2 linked regions of the Coturnix japonica genome follow. The protein of the gene in region 2 interacts with the protein of the main gene of each other region in a pairwise test. Links are inferred from orthologs where the notes say so. Each region holds a gene or a part of one and is shown on either strand. Other genes may lie near its edges.

Evidence for each region.
Region 1: the proteins of PHYH (region 2) and PEX7 interact in a two-hybrid assay, tested with the Homo sapiens proteins (2 studies listed by BioGRID, with this or other methods). The link is inferred for Coturnix japonica from reciprocal best matches to the Homo sapiens genes PHYH and PEX7.

Annotation. Positions count from the first base shown.
Region 1 is NC_029518.1:49,689,695-49,700,041, forward strand, and holds the start of PEX7 (peroxisomal biogenesis factor 7), read right to left. Parts: upstream 6,699-10,347; 5' UTR 6,689-6,698; coding exon 6,447-6,688; intron 5,644-6,446; coding exon of another isoform or gene 5,586-5,643; intron 4,142-5,585; coding exon 3,991-4,141; intron 680-3,990; coding exon 602-679; intron 251-601; coding exon 142-250; intron 1-141. UniProt on the Homo sapiens protein: Receptor required for the peroxisomal import of proteins containing a C-terminal PTS2-type peroxisomal targeting signal. Specifically binds to cargo proteins containing a PTS2 peroxisomal targeting signal in the cytosol.
Region 2 is NC_029516.1:6,010,538-6,021,151, reverse strand, and holds the start of PHYH (phytanoyl-CoA dioxygenase, peroxisomal), read left to right. Parts: upstream 1-3,901; 5' UTR 3,902-3,963; coding exon 3,964-4,050; intron 4,051-5,187; coding exon 5,188-5,243; intron 5,244-5,404; coding exon 5,405-5,515; intron 5,516-5,710; coding exon 5,711-5,876; intron 5,877-6,226; coding exon 6,227-6,308; intron 6,309-7,609; coding exon 7,610-7,791; intron 7,792-8,740; coding exon 8,741-8,890; intron 8,891-9,743; coding exon 9,744-9,875; intron 9,876-10,614. UniProt on the Homo sapiens protein: Catalyzes the 2-hydroxylation of not only racemic phytanoyl-CoA and the isomers of 3-methylhexadecanoyl-CoA, but also a variety of other mono-branched 3-methylacyl-CoA esters (with a chain length of at least seven carbon atoms) and straight-chain acyl-CoA esters (with a chain length longer than four carbon atoms).

The sequences.
Region 1 (10,347 bases), on a different chromosome or scaffold from region 2:
AGAACCTACAAATCCAGCTGCAGCGGTACATTTATCTTCTTCCATTTTTATCTATGACACACACTACCATCTGCTGGAGAAACTGCTGAATGAATACAGGCATTCCAGTTGTTGAGAGAACCGCTTTACCATCATGTTTACCTGAAGCAGATGCAAAACAACCAGGGATGTGCGGAGACCATATAGTGCTGTAAATGACCCCTTCGTGGCCTTTAAAAGTACGTAAAGACTTCCCCACTGCTGGATCCCACTGAACAAAGTAAAAGGAAAATTGTTGAGGTGCACACGCAATGAGAACAGAAAAGATTTAATGAATATGGAAGTTTTATGTGTATTAAAGGGACTAAGCACTTTTTCTCATGGAATATCCCAAGTTGGAAGGGATCCCTAAGGATCATCAAGTCCAACTCCTGATTTTACCATCTATCATGAAAAGCACTAATACACTTCACCCAGTACCAAAAGAAAGATATAAGAACATCTCAGTTACAGCAGCTTCCATTTAAAATAGAGGAAAAGTAAATCAATGCTGTTCCTTAACATGAAGAACTATCACCCTCAAAACAAATTGCATTTGTACCTTCAACAAAAACCAACATACCAGCTTGGCTGTTTGATCCCATGAACCAGACACCACTAGCTGCTCTCCTCTGGTTTGGCTCCAGTCAACACTATATGCCTATAAACAAAACAATAGCGCAGTTTAGAAAAAGCATTGTAGGGCTGAGATTCTAGTTAACTGTTAATTACATTATACATAAATACGTTAATTCTAGTTCCATTAATTACACTTGGATTTGTAGATTATATCACAATCAGCTAAAAAGCCATGCTGGTCAAACTTCACAGAGCTGCCAATAGTGCCATTTACCTGAGCAAAAATTAAATTTAATCTCTCCGTTTGGCATTAAAGGCACACACAGACTCAGAAAGGTATCCAAAAACAAAGAGTAGATGTTTCCAGATGGAGATAGGAAAGAAGAAGAAAAAAAAAACCAACATAATTTAAACTGATCCCAGATCCAATTTTATTCCAATATTTACATTATGAAAAAGGAAATCAAGGTATCATTCAGCTACTTCTGGGCACTTGCCTTCCTCCAAGCTATTTCAGATTCTGCTGGATCCGGCTTAAATTGACTGGCATTAATCTATTTGCATATTTCCCAAAAGTTGATGGCAATCATTGTCCATAAAAAAGAACCCATCACCTGCAATCTTCCCTCTTTACTGCACAATATTCTGTTTCCATATATGAAAGGCTTATTGCTCTGGCACCACTTCGTGCAAGCTCTCTTGTGTGAGGAGGTTATAACCTAAATGTACAAGATAACCACACACTATTTGACAAAAGCCAAATAATAAACTGAACAGTAATTCTTCTGTTTGTTCTTCCGAACTGTGCCTTTCTCCTCTTGGCTATTCTACCTTTGTAAGCTTACTACCAGTATCACAGTTCCTTTTTCAGCCTGTCTTCTCCTATTAAAATAACAATAACACAAGCAAACAAGTCACGCTCATGTTTTAAGAACAGAGGACATCACAGTTCTCCCACATGGCTCCTGAGCTCCTTGCTAACACAGCTTTCTCTCCTTCCCCATGAATCCGGACGATGGTATTGCATGTAACTCCTACTGTCATTTTACGGTGCTACACAGTATGCGTCATTCATGCAATAGCCCTAGGAATTCTGCTCACTCCAAATGTTGTGCTGCCATATACACAGCCAGAATCTCCAAGAAAGAAAAGCATACCTGAGAAATATGTACCTGTGTCAGCTCAGCTAAAGGGCATCAGCATGCAGATCAGTTGAAGACATGTTATGACAGTGACCTGAACACATACGGCAGACACAGCTGTGGCTGCACAACAGATAATGATACCCGGACAAACTCTCCTCCAGGCAAGGATTACAAGCCAAACAGACAACAGGCGTAGAAAAAGCAAGAGCTGTTTTCATTTGGCATGCAACAGGTCCATGTAATAGGAAGAGAATGAGAAGAAGAAAGTGCCAGAGAACCAAACAAGGACCACTTTTATACTTCTTACATTTCATGCTATCATCCAACATAAATTTACAGAACTTTCAAAATAAACTGCACTGAGCAACTGAGAAGAGCTCATAACACAGCACAAACTTTAACTGCTCATCTTCAATCATAGAACATTAATGAATTTATGTTTGAACACTGTAATAAGAAATGTCCCAGGTAAGATGAAAACAAGATGAAGGAAAGAAGTGAAACCAAAATGTAGCTCAAAATTAAGTAAATATGTCCTGTAAAGTGAGTCTTTGCATTTAAGTACTGTCTCACATTCCAGTGACACCTCATCAAAACCAAAGTAAATCAGACAATTTTATTCCCAAGAATCAGCAGTTGGTTGGTGCTGGAATAAAACTCACTGCCCTTAAATAAGAAAGATGTGCTTTTAAATTATGTTATTTTTGAGGGGGAGAACAATCTCATTTAGAAAACAAGAAACTGGTCCCCATCATTGGAAATACTACAAAAATCAGTGACAAAACCATCATTACAAACATCAGATGGATTACAGATTAAGAAGTGATCAATGACTTTAAAGAGCACTGTCTCTCAGTGTTTACCACAGCTTATTAGTTATATTCCCACTGAGATCTATCCTTTTAACGTACACTTACAAAGAATCAATACAGAACCCTGATATCTCAAAGTAAACACTTAGCCCATGCGTCCTACACTGTCTTTCCAACTCACAGTTGAATGCATCCACCCCCCATGCTCCCTGCTAAACCAGGACTTGGACACAGAAATTCTCACTTCACAAACAACAGATGGTGTAGCAGAACCAAAATAATCCTATGGACAGAATTCCAAAGAGATGGAGACAAAAGATAATTTGGTATTATGCCTTGCCTACATCTTTCTATCAGTCTTTGAACACTGACATATAATCCTGATTACAACCACACATATCTCAAAATTCCTTATTTACACAGTATATGTATTAAGCCAAAGTGGCAAAATTACAAAGAAAAAAACATAAGACTGATATAGTCTTGTGTTCAGTATCTGAAAAGAATGGATGAACTGAATACCTGAAAAATACCAGAAAAATAACTGAAAAACTGAAAACAAAACTGAATACCCACAGTTAATTGTTGACTACATACACACTAACTTATTTCATTCACATTTATTTCACTAAGATAAAGTGTTACTAATCCAAGCTAAGACTGATCACATCTGAAGTCCTAAGACTTCTAAGAGTATAAAGTTAGAAGAAAAGCGTGAGGAAAAACAGGGTAAAAAATAATAATAATAAAAAAATCACTTAGAGGAAGATAAGTATGGTGAGGCATAAAAGCCCCTTAAAATGTGCAGATGTATGAACATGAGAATGAGTGTAGCTTTTTCACTGCCAATAACATACAGTAAAAGAAACTGAGGCATTAAGCAAATTGAAATCAGTTGCATCAAACCAAGGCATAAAAAATATAATAAAAAAAAATACATGCTGTCCCAATATCTGACCATTGTTGATCTGAGCAAGAACTCAGAGATGCCAGAATGGAAAAGGACAAGCAGATGCAAAAGTCCTCAGGATTGATATAATTTCTATCATTCTGTACCCTCAAGGATAACTCAGCTATATGCATCAGCTGCCTGACTTTGGCCTATCCAACAATGTCCTCTAAGGCTACAGAATGACTTTCATACAACTCAATGGTTACTTAGTTTAGAAGGAACCACAGACTCTATTTCTGAATTTATTACATTTATCAGACTAAGAGTTACCTACGACACGAGTGTGAATGTGCAAATGAATATGTATAATATATTAACTTTATACTGAAAATAACATGAAGCTTTAAATTCAAATCATTGGCCCAAACAAAGTTAAAAAAAAATAGATGACAGAAAACACTTTTGATTTTGAGTGCTCAAATATCCCCTTTAGTAATTCAAGTATTAGACAGTCCAGCAAATTCCTGCAGTTTGCTGGATTTACCTCCTGAGTGTGCTCCTTATAGACTTGCAGTGGACCTTTGGGCTTCGCTATATCCCAGATCTGCAGAGACCCATCCCCGCTAGAAGTGATCAACACGTGCTCATTATTCTCACTCCATGTCACATCAAACAGGCCGTCATTCCAGTCAAAGCTGAACAGAAACAATGAAGATATTTGTCCATGGGAAAGCATAACACAAATCCGGACTAGCTGTGTGCAAAGACAGTAGCTTTTTATAATCAACCTGCTTACCATTCTGAACAGCTTATTTACCCATTTCAGTTTCCAGTGAATCTCCTCATAAGCAACTTACTGGATACAATGTTAACTTCTACAAGAATAGGTTGACTACGGTCAGAGTAGGTCAATTAAAGTGTAAGTGAGCCAAGGACCTCAGACACAGAGAATGGAATCTGACTTCAGTTCTAAACTGCTGAGAAGTCAGATGAGAGGTGCTACACATCTCAGACTAACCTACCATCTCTCCAGGATGCTGCTGCTACAGTGGTCAGAGCCTGCAGTCCACAATAACTGTGGTAATCAAAGAAATAAAACCATGTTGGGAGGTCTCTATTCAATCCACAACACCATTAAGAATCTGAGTGACAATGAAAAACCAAGAGAAGAGCAGTCATGAAAATATTAAAGATCTCTGTAACTCCTAAAAAGGGCTTTCAGCACACCACCCATTCATCCTCCAGGATCAAGTACCGTGTGCTGGTTGCTCTGCAACACCTATTAATAACCACACTGTTATCTCATAGTAAATACGACCTATTTACCCCCCTCTCACTGAAGGTTTAACTCAGCTCAGATTAAGCTTCATAGCACACTGCAGTAATTATGAAGAGAAAGGCACACACACAGAAAGCTTCTATGGGGAAAATGGCATAGCTCGGTGCTCAGGAAAGCACAGGACTTTCCACCACAGAATAAGTGGAGTCTCTAGAAACACAGAAATGAACAGAACACTTTGTAGAATGAAGAGCGTGTTTAACAGTTTCAGAGAGTCAGGTGGATAATTATGAATTAAAAACAGCTTATCAGATTTTTCTAATTTCTTGCTTAATACTTATATCTCATTTCCCTTCTTAATCTAAACAACTGTTGTTTGCATAATTAGGTGAATAGAGGCTAAGCACTAACCCCTCCCCTTCTCCCACCCAGAACATGGACCAAACTCCTCTCTTGGAGCATTCCATCTCCAAGAAAGGACTTCCTTGACTTATCCCAGCTTCCTGCTCTATTTTCAATCTAAGCCAACCTTAAAGGGATAAACAGAGGTGACACCTGCAATAACAACCAAACTTCCAATGTCAAGCTGGGTCAGAGCTTTTAATTTACACTGCCAGTTTTCCATAAAACGGCTTACACTATGGAAAAGGTGTCATCTGAATTACTTTTTGTAATGAGACGTGGAATGTAAGCCAATCATTTGCACCTCGATAAAAATATATGTGTACAGCAGACAATATAGTACAGATACAACAGTTTACATTGATAACAATACACCAAAATGTTCGGGATGGGTTTTCTACAAACAACAATACAGGTTTACACCTTATTTTCACAACAGAGAATATTTACAGCATTACCTCCTGAGCAGGACAATCCCAGTTTCATTTTGTTCCAGCACTGCCAGAGTTCCACAACCTAAAACAGCACAGTATAACCAAACATCACAACTCCTTGCTCACACCAAAGGTCCTACAAGTTCTGTGATAGCTCCTGTGAGCGTAAGGAAGCTAAACTTCTTTAAGAGGCCACACAGTTAGTTGTGCAACAGCCTGTTGCCTCTTCTGCTCTCCAAAACAGGATTTCATTTACATCAAGTTCTCCTCCCCCAGTACACCTGTGGTTGAGGCTGGAAAAGCAGCACCTCCTGCACAGAAGTCACAGAATCACAGAATGACCCGGGTTGGAAGGGACCTCAAGGATCATGTAGTTCCAACCCCCCTGCCTGGCAGGGCCACCAAACATACACCTTTACTAGATCAGGTTGCCCAGGGCCCTGTCCAACCTGGTCTTGAACACCTCCAAGGACGGGGCATCCACAACCTCCCTGGGCAGCCTGTTCCAGAGCCTAACCACTCTCCTAGTGAAGAACTTCCCCCTAACATCCAACCTAAATCTTCCCTCTTTCAACTTAAAACCATTTCCCCGTGTCCTGCTACTGTCAGCCCTAAGTGCACCCCCACACACAAGCATTGGCCCTGTGTTATAGGTATACCAGGACCAGCTCCTTTCTACCTCTTCAGTAACACAGCAGATGTAGCTTTTGTTTGTATTTATTTCCACTCTGTGAAAATAGAGTGGAAATGCAAATTCCTCCAACCCCGAGGCAGCCTGTTCTGCACCCCCACCGGGCCGGCCGAGCACCCAACACAAGGGCAGCGCTACACTATGTCACAGGGAGAAAATACCATCAGTCGGCCCGTTTGCCTCAAGTACATCACCTGCGATGCCGTAGTACTGCGCAGCGGCGCAGGCCACACGGCCTGGCCAGTATGGCGAGAACTCGGCCGCGTAGCCGTGCAGCCCCGGCAGCCTCAGCACGCCGCCGCCCGCCGTGCCCATGGCCCCGGCCCGGCCCGGCCCGAGCTTGGGAGGCGGCACCGCTGAGCTGCGTCGGAAGAGTCCCGCCCGCCACGCTGAGGCGGTGCCGCCATCTTTGGCGCTGGCAGCATAGCGGGCACATAGTTTCGGGGTTCACCGACAGAGGTCCTTCTTGACCATGGGACAGGAGAATGCTTTGTTTTGAGGACGTGTTAATAGGGTGTTTGTAGACATCGATGGCCAAGGAGCAGACAGAACGTTATGAGAAAGACTAGTTCCCCATACCGTTTATTTCCCCACAGACAAGCTTGTGCATTCACGCTTCGATGGCCTTTAGAAATAGCCGTTTTGTTTCACTTCCTAACAGAAGTATTTGTGTATCGAGATTGAAAGGAAGATACGGTAACAACTAGAGAAATAAATAAATAAATAAATAAATAAATAAATAAATAATAAAAAAGCTGTGCCAGGGGAGATTCAGGCTGGACATTAGGAAGTATTACTTCTCAGAAAGGGCAGTCAGGCATTGGAATGCACTGCCCAGGGAGGTGGTGGAGTCACCGACCATGGGAGTGTTCAAGAAAAGTCTGGATGTTGTGTTGAGGAATATGATTTAGCTGGGAAGTATTTGTAATGGTTGGACTAGATGATTTTCTAGGTGTTTTCCAACCTTGATAATTCTGTGATTCTGAAAAGCTATTTTACGAGCAGAGAGAGTAGGGAAACGCGAGTATTTCCGCCTAGGGTCCAGGGCATGTGAGTAAATCCCAGAGGGACAAAGGACAGCCGGTAACAGTAGCGTTTCATAGCAGCATAGAAACCAGCTGTGCTACCGGCCGGCTCCTCCCAACACAGAATCACAGAATCACAGAATGACCCGGGTTGGAAGGGACCTCAAGGATCATGTAGTTCCAACCCCCCTGTCTAGCACAAAGCCCGTGTAGCCACAACGCCCCGTTAGATGGCAGCCGTGCTCCACCAACAGCCCTCCACTGCGAGTATTTTGCTCACAAAGCATCACTTCAATGAATTGATTCCCCACCCTCTCAGTATGCAAAGTATAGGCTCTGTTTATACTGCAGTCACTTCTTCGAGCTCAGCTCATCACCCTACGCACCTTATTGGCATTGGAACATGCGGTCAAGATGCTGACTGGATCCCTGCATCCAGTTCTCCTCCTTTTCAGAGCACTGATCTCTGTTCTGCCATAGACACATGCACGTCATTCCCTCAGCTTGCTTGTCTGACAGCCAGTTTAGGCATGAGCTGAGCTGGTGGCAAGCACTTCTACATACACAAATCCTTAAAGAATCTGTTATCAGCAAGAGAATACTGCAGGCATTAATAATAATAACAACAACAACAACAACAACAACAACAACAACAACAACAACAATAATAAAACATTGCAAAATGAGCCTTTCTATCACAGAAAGTAGACTGTGAGCTGTTCCTTTAGGCTTAAGGATAAACAGCTTAAAACGCTGGGGAATGCAGTAAGCTCTTTTCTAGTTATTGAGTCATGCATTAGGCTTAATGCCATCAATATTTTACTCTTTGACAGTGAATGTTTACTGACTGAAAGGAATGAAGAGGTTTTCCCAGCTGAAATTTCCATACAGTCATTAGGCTGCATGAGTCGAAGCTTTAAGGGAAGCATTTAGCATCCCGAGACTGGAAAGCCGGCAAGAGTGAAAATAAACAACTGGAAGTAACCAAGGAAGCTGCAGGAATGAATGCAAAGGGAAAAAGCTCACGGGGTCAGATGGGAAAGCTGAGACATTTCTGGAAGTTAAAAAGGACAGAAGAAGTGAGAGGAGGAAAAAAAACAACACACTGTAGCAGAGGAAGAAATATAAGATTCAGAAAGAAGTGTGAGAGTTGTAGGTTCTGCTGATTGCCATTTCTGTGCACCGTGTCATAATTCAGTAAGTGAATTATGGTAATATAGTAATAGCCCATGCTATTACTGTTACATGATCAGATCGAACACCAGACTATTTACCTGCCCCCAGTGCTTACTTGGTGCATTAAATGCTTATCTCAATCATAGACTTACTTTCTTTTAAAGATTGGCAGTCGACCCTCCCATAACAAAACACTGCCTTCTTGCCTTCTTAGTACTGAACATATAGGCTACGTCTGATTGTCTACAGCTGCCTACCCAGTTTAATTTTTGAAATAAGCTGTTGTTTATTTCAGTTTAACCATTTCTATTTTTGTGCAAGTTACCTTCTAGCGCTCATGGGAAAAGGAACAGTACGTGTACTTCTGAGATCTCATTTGGATCTTTATGTCTGCAAGGTTCTTTAAGTTCGTGGATGGTTTTCTTTACACCCATAATTGAAACATACTGAACTTTACTCCCACAGACTCCCATAGGAATATATTTTAGTCCATTCCATCAATCTCCAATACAACCAAGAAAATTGAAAATGCATCACTGAGTCACTTTTCTCCCTCTACTGGACACTCATGGCTGTAATACATTAAAAAAAAGTTATAATTTTGACATAAATGCTTCAAATTTCATATCTCTAAATCAGAATGCTTAAAATGAAACTACCTCTTTTGGTCTCGATCTCATTTTGAGTGGCTTAATCAAGTCTTTAGCATCTGCAACACAGTGTTTGTCACCCAACACAAATTGCATTTTCAACTAATAAGAATGAAAAATTCCTGGCTGTTAGAATTCTAATTATGGTTAAAGCAAAAGGACAGTGATGTATTGCTTTGAAAACCTACAAGGAAGAGATGGAATTATTCCAACAGATTTGCAGCTAACGCTGCTTGCTGCAAGTTTTTGTCATTAGAAAAAGCACAACAGGAACAGGGTGATACTGAACTGTAATCGGGTGTAAACCATCTGGTACTAGAGATGTAAATTCGACAGTGCTTGAGAAACAAGTGAACAAGGTATGCTGAAGATTTGTGTGGGTTATTCCAGGTTATTTTTCCTTTTTTATTACTTGTTTTTTCGTTTCTTTTTACGGCTCAACATCACATCCAGCCAAATCTACAGAAGACCTGTCTTGTGTTTGGAATGGACATGGCACTAATAATGACACAGGCCTCACGAGTCATAGCACTAAGTAGAATAGCATGCTGCTTCCGTCTCCTTTCAGTCTGGGACTTCCTTCTGTGCTTGACAAACATGGGCTGTTCTAGAGAACAACAGAGGCACATTGTTCTTGCTTCCTGTAAGGTGATGTAAGAGCAGTGCTGAATGGATTAACACCGATTCTGCATTTTGTGGAAAACTACTTTATTTAGGAAAACATTCATTGTCGTTCTGACCAGAGCAAGAAACAATAACCTACTGTATATTGCAGATTAGCAAATATTAACTTCCCCCTTTAAATTAGTCTTTCGTTTGCTCGTCATCTTCCCACCCCATTTACCCATTCCTTATCAGCAGAAGCAAATGCCAGGCATATCTCACTGAAAATGGGAACCTATCGACGCAAACAGAGCTCCCAAAGGTGACTAATTTCTCCTAACTATTCCAGAATTTATCCTTGTCTTACAGAAGTAATGGAAATAAACAATACAGGAACAGGATCCATGCCAGGAAGTTGATTTTATCCCAACAAGATCCACTATAATGCACAAAGCAGATGGACCTATTGGTAGGACACAAACATTAATAATGCGCAGTGCTACGTTGCTCCATGTTGCAGAGTGGAAAGTGTCGGTCTTTTTTCACAGGTGAAAAGTAATAGAACATGAGGAAACCATCTCAAGTTGCACCAGGGGATGGTTAGAATGGATGTTAGAATGGATGCTGGGGAAAAATTCCTT
Region 2 (10,614 bases):
CTTCCTTGCTCTGGGCAGCTGAGATGTGGTGTTATCTCTAGTCAGAGCCGATATGAGTATTTCTGAATGTGTCAATTCAGAGTGAATGATAATGTGTTCCAAGTGTTGTGCTATCATCGCTTTATCAGATAAGGACTGCTGTGATTTGTGTAAGAACTTTTGTTTGCTACATAAAAGACAGTCAGGCCTGAGCTATAGGGTGATATGTAGTACTGCATATGAAGAGGGCTAGCAAGTTCAATGCTTTAAACGATCAGTAGATGCTTCCAGTGCTTTGATACCCTTTTAAATAGGGCTTTTTGAGATTCGGGTATCAAAACAATGTGAGAAGTAGAACTCCAGTGTTTGGCTTTGTGCAGTCACAGAAATGTAATGTGCTTTTATTTATGTACACAGGTATCTGCAACTTCCATAGCAGTCGTGATGAGAAGGCAACTTGTAAAGCTCCGTGGAAGCTGTGAGAGCAGGAGAGAATAAGAAGGAAGAATTTTAATAGGTGGAAAACTGACTGGTCTGAACAGCAGGATTGATAAGTAGCATGTATTTGTAGAGACTAGTGTCTGTTACAACCTCTATCATGTTGGTTTCCTCAGCTTTTCCTTTTTCTCCTGCATAAGGGGAATATAAGACACCAAAACTATCTGTCATGTCACATGAAGTTGGATTTTTAAGGTATTCTTTAGAACAGAATTTTTGCTGTTAATTGAGGACTGACCAACTGTTTTCTGCTTAGGAGATATGGAAGTTAGTGTGCATGGGTGCCCACCCACAGTGCAGAAGTTGGGGCCAGCTGTAATCCTGGGTGTATTTCTCACACTTGAGATGCTGGGCTGCAGTGCCTCGGTGTGTGGGTAGGGGTTGCCCTAAGCTTGAAGTTTCAGCTGGAGCCAGGATCTGAAGGCAGGACGTTGCTTCTGTAGAAGGTAGTGTTGTTTCCTTCTATTGCCTGTGTGTGTGATTCTGTGTGATTGCCTAAGATGTGTTGAAGCTGATGCTGTCTTTTCAGCCTATGCTGTTTTGAGCTCTTGTTTGTCATGTTGGCCTGTGTGCAGTGAAATATCTCCAGTCATTGTCATTTCTCATTCTCTCCATACCCCCTGTTATAGTATTTGACCATTCCCATTCTGCATACTTTGCTCCTTAAATCTAATAGGAATTTTTGCTGTGGTTTGTGCCTATTGTCTCTTAGCTTTATTGCATATCTTCAGAAAGCGTTTGTCTTTCTTCTCTCTATCCCATAGTAAGTACCTGCAGACAACTGTAGGGTCTCTCTGCAGCCTTCTCTTTTTCCAAGTGAACTATTTTCTCAGCCTTTCCTTGTGCATCATATACATAAGCCCCAGAGGACAGACCATACCAGCAGTGTCCAAGGCAGGAAGGGTACCAAGTCCCTTGACTTTTTCCATGCCCTTTTTCTAATAGCCTCCTTCTAGTTATTCTGTACAGGGTCTATGTTTTCCTTTGTCTCCCTTCTCCTGCTAATGCGTATACAAAAGCCCTTCATGAAGCTTCTGACAATGAAAAGTGAACTTATGTGTCGGTGGTAGATGAGACAGCAACACCAAATCTACATCTGTTTTCCTTCACGTCTAAGTTGAGAAGGCTCATTTAGTTGAATTGCGGCAGCTGCCACTTCCCACTGCAGTAAACTAGGCTTTCAGAAGACCTCATCTTTGGAATTATAGTTCTGATCTTAGTGTGGATTTTAATAGTCAGTTGAGATGCTTATTAAGTTACAATGCTGTGCATTAGACCCGTCTCGGTACCGCCGTAGAAATCTTGATTGTTTCATTTTTATTAGTTTTGTGATTTAATGAAGTGAAAACATTAAAGCTAAAAGCCAAATGCAAAACAGCCGTATAAAAACCTCCTATAAAACTTGGTAAACTGACAGACATAGCACTAAAAAATACTTTGCGAAGACGCAGCTGCTGTTAAATGCCATTGGTTTTAATAAAGATACAAATGTCATCGTCGGTTATCTTAACAAAGAGACTCTCCTTGTTTCTTCTCATAGGTTCATGATACTCGTTCAGAGAGTGAATGCAGCAGTCTTGTTGTGTGTCACAGTGGTGGCAATGCCTGAAATCCATCTTTTATTGTATCAAAGCACGTGTGTGGTCGTGGACTGTATTAATGTGATGGTACAAACGAAGGGCGGTCACCCCAACCACCCATTGCCCTGTGCCCAGTTGGATGAGGTCTCCGCACTCACACCAGGATGTGATGTAACAGGGTGACCCAGTAACAAGGGAGTTGCTAACGCTGCTGGCACTATGCAACAACACTGGCTTGTGCAGCAAGAAAAACAATAATTAACAAGGAATAATTGCAATCAGAGCACAGGGAGATGGGCTTCTGAAGCTTGAACTATTCTAGTTTAAAAATGCACAATGTATGCATGTATATATTGTACATGTGTTTATATATCTATGAAAGCATCTTAGTTTTCAAGCTCCTATATCAGCACAGCAGTGTTACTAACCACACATCCTTTTTGGTTTATTCTTTTTTTCAGACGTGAAAGACACTTTTGCATAAGATGCTGTTCAGCACGTGGGCCAGGAAGAAACAGCTGCGTTACAACAGGTGTGTGTCATAACTGACGTGGGCAGCGTTTGGCCTTATCTCTGTGATGGGACTTGTATTTTGAAACAGATGAAGATGTATTGGGTTCCTGATTGGCTCTGGATTGCAAAGGTGTATCTGCATAGACTGATTAGCTGTGACTAAGAGTTTTACCATAGATCAGGAGTCAAAGGTCTGATTTTTATTGCGGTAAAGAGATGTGTGCTGTCAAAGCTGCTGCTGTTGTCCCTTCATCATGCCTATATATTGCCCCCTGACTACACACTGTAGTTTTGTCTTATGAGATCTTTTTCTTTTGGGTTCCTAATCTTGTTTGTCCCGCTTGTGTGAACACCTGTGTTCTCTTATAGTCCCACAAAGCAGACATCCATGGGTTCCGTGCTGATTGAAATGTGGGTCTGCCGGCCACAAGAGCCAGGAACTGGAATGCAGTTTAGGCTTCACACCTTGTCACAGTACACCTTTACTTAAAGCACTGGGAGTTTTGCCACTGGTTTTTGAAGGCATTCAGATTTGGGGGGATAGAGGTTAAGTTCAGAATTGCTTACCATCCAAACCTTGGTTTCTGTTTATTTGTAGCACTAACACACTGCAGCTTAGTAGGTTGAGCTCTCGTTTCATCAAGGTGCTTGTTGACTTGAGCCTCCTGAAGTAGCTGGAATGCAGAGTTTTGGGGGTACACCCTGTCATCATGAGATGGCCTGGAGCAACAGCAGAGCTACACTCCTGGAGCTGTACTGCAGCAGTAATGCTGTGTCTAGAGGAGCAGGACCTGGCTGGACTGCTCATGCAGAAGGGAATGATGAACCAACTGAGCAGGTGTGAAGGTTTGCATACATTGGGCTGCCTGGCATTCAAGGCCAGGCTGGATGTAGCTCTGGGCAGCCTGGTCTGCTGGTTGCTGACCCTGCACACAGCAGGGGGTTGAACTGGATGATCACTGTGGTCCTTTTCAACCCAGGCCATTCTGTGATAAACGGATTGTCACTCTGATGGTACAGGGTAAACTAAACAATGCCATGAGGGATCTGAAGAGGAGTGGTGTGGTTCTAAACAATGTGGTGGCAGCAGGGAGCTAACAAAAATGACAACTTTTGGAGCTTTGATCTCAGATATGATTGTTTCCAGTCCCTTTATATTCAGCGTTAAGTCAGATGAGAGGGATCTTCCCCGCGTCCTCCCAGCCTCCAGCGGACCCTCCCATCTACAAACCCTGCCAGCTCTCAGCTCCTGACATCCTCCTTTCTGAGCATGCACGGCTGCCGGCGCATGTGCAGCCCATGCGAAGTCTGCAGAGCATGATGGGGCTGCGCTCCTCCCCTGCTGCGTATAAAGGCTCGGGCTGCGGGTCGGGCGCTCCGGCTGCGGGGCGCAATGGAGCAGCTGGGGAAGCGGTCGGGGCCGGCGGCTCGGCTGGACGCCATCCTGCGGCACCTGAACCCGCGGGCAGCCCCTGCTCTCGTATCCTTAATGCGTCGGGTGGGATGTTGGCACTGTGGGGTGGGAGCTGTGTGCTGGCTGTGCGGGTTGGCGCTCCAGGCTGGGATGCAGCAGGGTTGTTGCGTGCCATGGAGCTGTGCTTGGTCTTATGGGCTCAGCAGACGGTGTACTTGAGATATGAATATTCATAAGGTTGGAATCTGCATATTATCTGTATATCGGATATATATACACAGCAGTTTGGGGGGAGATAGCACACAGGCTGTAGAATTAAAGGCCACCTCAAACACGCAGGGAAATGGAAGATTCAGAAGGCAGCCACACAGCTGGTGTTATTTGGATGTTGGACTTCTTAGGTCACGTAGCAGTGGTGCTGGTAGAGCTCCTGGGGATTCTCCCGCTGTAACTGACTCCCAGCATATGGACTGCAGATGAAACTGATGACAAAACCTACTTATACTAGAAGAGCTCGTGCCTTTATGGCACGTGGAAAAGGTTGTGGTGAGCCATGGAGGAAGGTCTTCAATCTCTATAAAGCTCAGGAGTCTCCCAGTTGGACCAGCACATAGAGATCCACTTGATAATATTCCTTTTTGTTGTCCTTTCCCCTGCGTCAAGTTTCAGTACCATTGTGCAAAGCTGTTGTGAGTGTTCATTACCAAGTGATGCTTCATTGTTCTATGGATGAGGTTGTACTGTCTCTACATAAGGGAATGCAGGTTTTCTTCTGTCTGTGCTTTCCCTGTGAGGTTTGGAGGGATCTGCTCTCTGCAGTAACTGGAGGCAGAGCAGGTTTGTGCCACCGCTGTGTGAATGTGAAGTCCCAGGTTCATCTCATTTGAATTCTGGCTCTGAATTTGGCACAGCAGCAATTGGAGGGGAGAGATTGAAAAGCACCTGCAGGGGACAGCACAGGCTTTGGGTAGGTTTGACTGTTCTCTGGAGCATAGGGAGACCAGGCAAGTAAACATCTCCAATGAGCGTCTCCTTAAATATCTTCATGTTCTTGGAGATAAACCCTTTGAAGTCTCGGGCATTGTACTGACTTTCCTATATGTGTGGACAAGGCGCATGCTTTTATTGTGAACCATACTGTAGGATTCAGGATGTGTAGCTGTTCTACTCTTTTGTGCTGCAGTTCCTTGATTTTCATTCCAGACATTCGTTCCTACTTCAGCACAAGTTAGTGCTGTTCATCAGCCGGGGAAGTTTCGGTAAGTTATAACCTCATTTATAGAGAGGAAAAGCCAAACTAACAAAGCACAGAACCTGCCATGGGGAGGATTTATCACTGTTTTCCTTCAGGCATTGGGTGGGGGTCTGGTGCTGCTGTTGTACCTGCTGTGCACTAACGTGTTTCCCTTGTGTTTCCCAGCTTTACTCTGGACAACAATATCTTGACTACAGAACAAAGGCAGTTCTATGAAGACAACGGTTATCTGCTCATTAGGAAGCTTGTTTCAGATGAAGACATTGAGCGTTTCAGGTACAGGATGCTTTACCTAAGGTGCTTGTGGGTCTTATGTACAGCAGTATCCTGGGGAAGCTTTAGGAAGCTACATGAAGTTGGGCTTTAACTGAATGCGTGTGCGTGGTGTTGCTGGATTCAGTGTGTTTGAGGAGGGTCGTTTGGCCAAAAATAGAGAAAATAGACCATCTTCTTATTCCCTGTCCTTTTCAGGAAGGAGTTTGTGAGGATCTGTAAGAAAGAGGTGAGAGTTCCCGGAGCCATGATTATGAAAAATGAGGCCCTGAGATCCCAGTACGGCCAGACTGAAAGCGTCGTTAACAAAGTGCAGGACTTCCAGGAGAACGAGGAGTTGTTCAGATACTGTACTCTGCCACAGGTAACAAAGAACCAGCTTAAATTAAAACAGAACGGTTGTGGAAAAGTATATACGAATTAATTGGGGTTTTAATGCCTACCTGAAGAAACTATTTTGGTTGTGCTGAAGCCATATCCATTATCCTTAAAGCCTCTGCATGTCACTCCCATAAACGTATTAATGAGGGAAGATACTAAACCATCCTCTGTTCATTCTGCATGAACATGGGATGGATGGAGGCCTGGAGGGGAAACTTAAAGCAAAGTTCATCAGCTCCTGTGGTGGGTGACCCACCTGCTGTGCCCTCATCCTCAGCAATTTCATCTCTCATGTTTCTGATAATTTTTTTTCTGATGTCATCTTCCCTGTAGATCCTCAAATACGTTGAGTGCTTCACTGGGCCCAACATAATGGCAATGCACACCATGCTCATCAATAAACTTCCAGATTCTGGTAAGGAGATCTTGGGAAAGATAAGTACAGAAATTAATGTGCGTATGTTGTTTATCTGGCCAGAACTGAGGCACCTTGTGGTATAGGTTGTTTTCTTTAAATCACGACTTACTGTGATAACATTCATTGTATTTCAGTTTCAGGTGTTTTTTTTTGTTGTTGCTGTTGTCTGTTTCATATAAAGACTGTTATTTTCTTGGCTGCACCACTGATTTTCAGGGTGGGCCAGCGAGCTCCCTATTCAGCCAGCTGCACTTGCACAAAGGCTCGTTGTTGGAAACATGACATGCTTTTAAGCTTGACTTTTCAAAGGTGTTGAAAATAAGTGTTTCTGTGGACGTCGGTGAAAGGCAATAAATACAGAGATCATCCTTTGCTCGGAGTTTATATGCTCCTGACCTCACTGTCAGTTGGTGCACGCCCAGTGGTTCTATATGAAGGTATTTGAACGTGTGCTAAAGGAAGGATTTTGAAGCCTGGCTTTGGCTGCTGCTGGAAATTCAAATCATTACTGATACGAGAGCGATGAATAGGAAGATGTTCTGGCTTTGTCTGTCCAAGGTGTAAACTCCATGGCAAAATAAATCATCTAATATGTAAAAGGTTTTGGTGTGGAAGAGGATGATATGGATACGGTTCCATTTCCATAGTGGGAAGAGAAGTAGCAATCAAATTTTCAGTAATGTTTTTTGGTCTAGGCTTCAGGGGGAAAATAAATCTTTAGGAAGAAGGTTAGTAGAGTGCTGGGTAGACTTTGTGAGGAGATTTAAAACAAGAAGAGAGAAGACTGAATAAACATCTGTTGGCGCAGCTCAGGGGGGGGTGATTCTGCTTACAACACAGCAGTAGATCAAATGGCTTCTGGATAAGCCTTTCCAGTGCTGCTGTTGAAAGTCTTTGTACTGGGAGAGGTTACGCAATACTGTGTAGGTTAAACGTTCACAGATTGGACAGCAGCCATGAAAGGCAAAAGCGTGGAGAGTGGATGGTGGAGGCCACCAAAGGAGGAGTCTTCTGAAGGGTCACACAGCCAGGCAGCCTCCTGGCACATGCTGTATTCTCATGCCGTTGCTGACGTAAGTGCATGGATTTGCTTTTGGTCTTGGACTCTAGGGATGAGAGCACAAGCTAACCCATTTCATTTCCAAATCAGTGGTGGTCTGGAGCATATGTAAAATCAGCAAAGCCTTCATGCTTGCAAGCAGTGTCTTCTTTAGACAGGATATGAGTGCAGTGTCTTCATAGGAAGGAAGAGACCATGCCTTATTTGTTAAGTTGAAGATTTTGGCCTTGTGTTGCAGATAAACAGACTTTTCTCCACCCCATGCATCAGGACTTGCACTATTTCCCATTCCGGCCGGCAGACCGCATCGTGTGCTCCTGGACTGCCATGCAGAGGGCTGATGAGAACAACGGGTGCCTCGTTGTCCTGCCAGGGACACACACGTTGCCCCTGAGGCCTCACGGATATCCAGAGTGGGAGGTAGGGTTGCATGGAGGCACTGTGTGTGTTGGGACCGCGCTGCAGCTGGGGAGGGTTCACAGGGAGAGGTGGTGAGCATGTCAGAGCTGAGGCTTCCAACCATGGCTTTTCTGCCTGTCCAAACACTCACTGTTGCTTTCTGGCAGAGCTGCTTAGTTTACTTCACTCCATATAACTTAGCAGCGGCTCTCCTGAACCTGGGCAGATTTGCTCTTGTACCCAACTTCACCTAAAGCCCTGTCGAGTGAGGTTACTTTGTTTCTTCATCAAGAAATGCCTGGTTAATCATGGAGAAATGTTGGCCTGCTCTCCAGAATACTCTCCAAAATTTGAACCTGGGTGTTGGAGGGGATCCTTTTCTGGAGCTGAATTGCAACACCTAGTTCAGGGCCAGGACCTCAGGTTTCTGAATAGTCTGGCATATTGTTGCATGACTGCATGAATACATGCAACCATTTTCCAGTGTCCTTGCCAAGTCTGAGGACTCCCTTCTCCTGTGAATTAATTCCTGCTTGGTGAGCACGTGTGCTTTGCTGTAGGAGAGAAACAGAAAACAAACAGCTGGCTGGAGTGAAATATCTGGTGTTATCTTCATCTGAAGAACAGATGCTACCTCACCTGGCCCAGCACAGATGATGGTTTTACAGGGAGCAGAAAGCCGGACTCCAAAGGTGCTCTTCTCTGTTCTCTCCAGCAGAGAAATTCTTGGTTGTCAGCATAGAGCTTCAGAAAACAGAAGCAGTGTTAACCTGCTGTACCTCAGACTTGTAGTAGGATGACTGGTTGGCAAGCAGGCGGGCTCTTAGTTGAACATACTGAGTGGACTGCCCAGAAGCTCACAGATCAGGAGCCTCCCTGCTTTTCTTTCACTGGAAATCTGCACTTGCTCCATCTTTAACTGAGTTATTTTAACTCAGCTTTTTATTTTATGTTATTTTATTTTTCCTAGGGTAAAACAAACAAATTGTTTCACGGGATACTTGATTACAACGAGAAGAGTCCCAAGGTTCACCTTGTCATGGAGAAGGGAGACACGGTGTTCTTCCATCCCCTGCTCATTCACGGCTCTGGGATAAACAAGACATCAGGTTTCCGAAAGGTAAAAAACCAACTAATGCTCTGTTTATGTATATTTAAACTGATCAAAAGGATACTTCACCTCTCCCCCTAGCAAGCTCATGAACATTTGGGTTAGAATCATAGAAGCAAAGACTCGTTAAGCACATCAGCTACCGGGAGTCTCATCTGCTGGCTCTCTCCAATGCAGCGGAGCTGTAACTTTGTTTAGTTTCCCACAGAAGCACAGGAGCTTTGTTGTTACTCTGCATTTGGTACTAACTAATGAGTTCTTGGAGTTCCCTGAACAGAGCTATGGTTCAACACTCTTGGAAATGTCATGATTTTGCTTGCTGCTGACATAGCCCTTTATCCAGTTTTCAGCTGTTGAATTCTCCTAGACTTGCTTAACCACAAACTGATTACAGAATCTGACATAGAGCTGCTATGACTCCAGCTTCTCTGATTGCTGGTTTAATTGCTGATAATCTCAGTTCAAGTAGGCAGTGCATTGCTTGTTGTCAAGAGCAATAATGTGACTTGTGCTGTTCAACGCTCAAGTGAAATCTGGGCATTGCACTCAAAGCTTATAGAAACTTATAAGATAGAAAGCTTAGTGCTGCTTTATCATTTCCAGGGTATCTGGAAGCATCCTGCCTAATTCTGGTGTGTGGAGGTAGAGGGATGGGAAGAGGGGAGAAAGAAGAGCATGTGTGCATGAGTGTTTCTCCAGGGATACGCTTAGAGGAATAGTCTGAAAGGAGGAAGGAATTTGCTGACTTGGTCAGTAAGGATGGTGTGGGGTGTCTATCATCTGGGACACAGGAGCTTTTTCCTACCATTTTCTTTCTTTGCAATCAGTTTGGGAATGAGTGATGGCCCGTTTCCTCACACAGAGCATAAGCTGCCACTTTGCCAGCTCAGATGGCCATTATATTGATGTCAAGAACACGACCCAAGCAGACCTGGAGAAAGAAGTGCAAGAAATAGCACACAAGAAATATGACATGCCTGATCTGGACCTCAAGGTAAGACTTCGATATATGTGCTTCCTTACCATCCAGGTTAGTCTCCTTTGCTCAGCTTCTCTCATACGACAGTTCTGTTGTCTGATGTCACAGTTGGAGCCTGGCAGAATAAAGGGTGCAGAACTCTGAAAGTGGCTGCAGGTTTTGGGTTGTTTTTGACCTTTGTGCTGCTAAGACATTTTGTTGTCTGGCTGTCTGCTGGAGGAGTGATCCTGCTCTCCAGGTGTATCCTTCATGTCCCTCGAGCTCCTCTTGCAGCCCTGCTTATCAAAACGGGTTTTGAGAATGTACCTTGATCCCTTGCTCTGCAGGCAGGATTATCACAGAATCAGAATGGCTCAGGTTGGAAGGGACCTTAGAGATCATCTTGAGTTTGTGCAGACTGTCAGCACTTCTTGAGGTGACTGCAGCTGGAGTTGTGTAAGTGAGGAGGAGCCATGCGCTCTGCAGCCCCGAGGCTGCTCACATTTGCTGCTTACACCAGAAAGCTTTAGGTTTTCTGACCAGACAGCCCAGCAGGGAGGATGAATGACACAAAGCAAGGAGGCTTATGAAGAACTTTACCCTTCCCTGCATCCCTCAGCTCCAGGTTTGTCCTGAGGAGTGTGTCTGAACCAGAGCTCTTTGCAGTTGTGTTTGGACCGTGTGATAAAGCAGGAAGATGCATTTATCTCTTGCCCTGAGTTTGCAGTAATGAGGTGCAGTCAATTCTGTGCTTGGCCACAGTTCTCATGGGTTC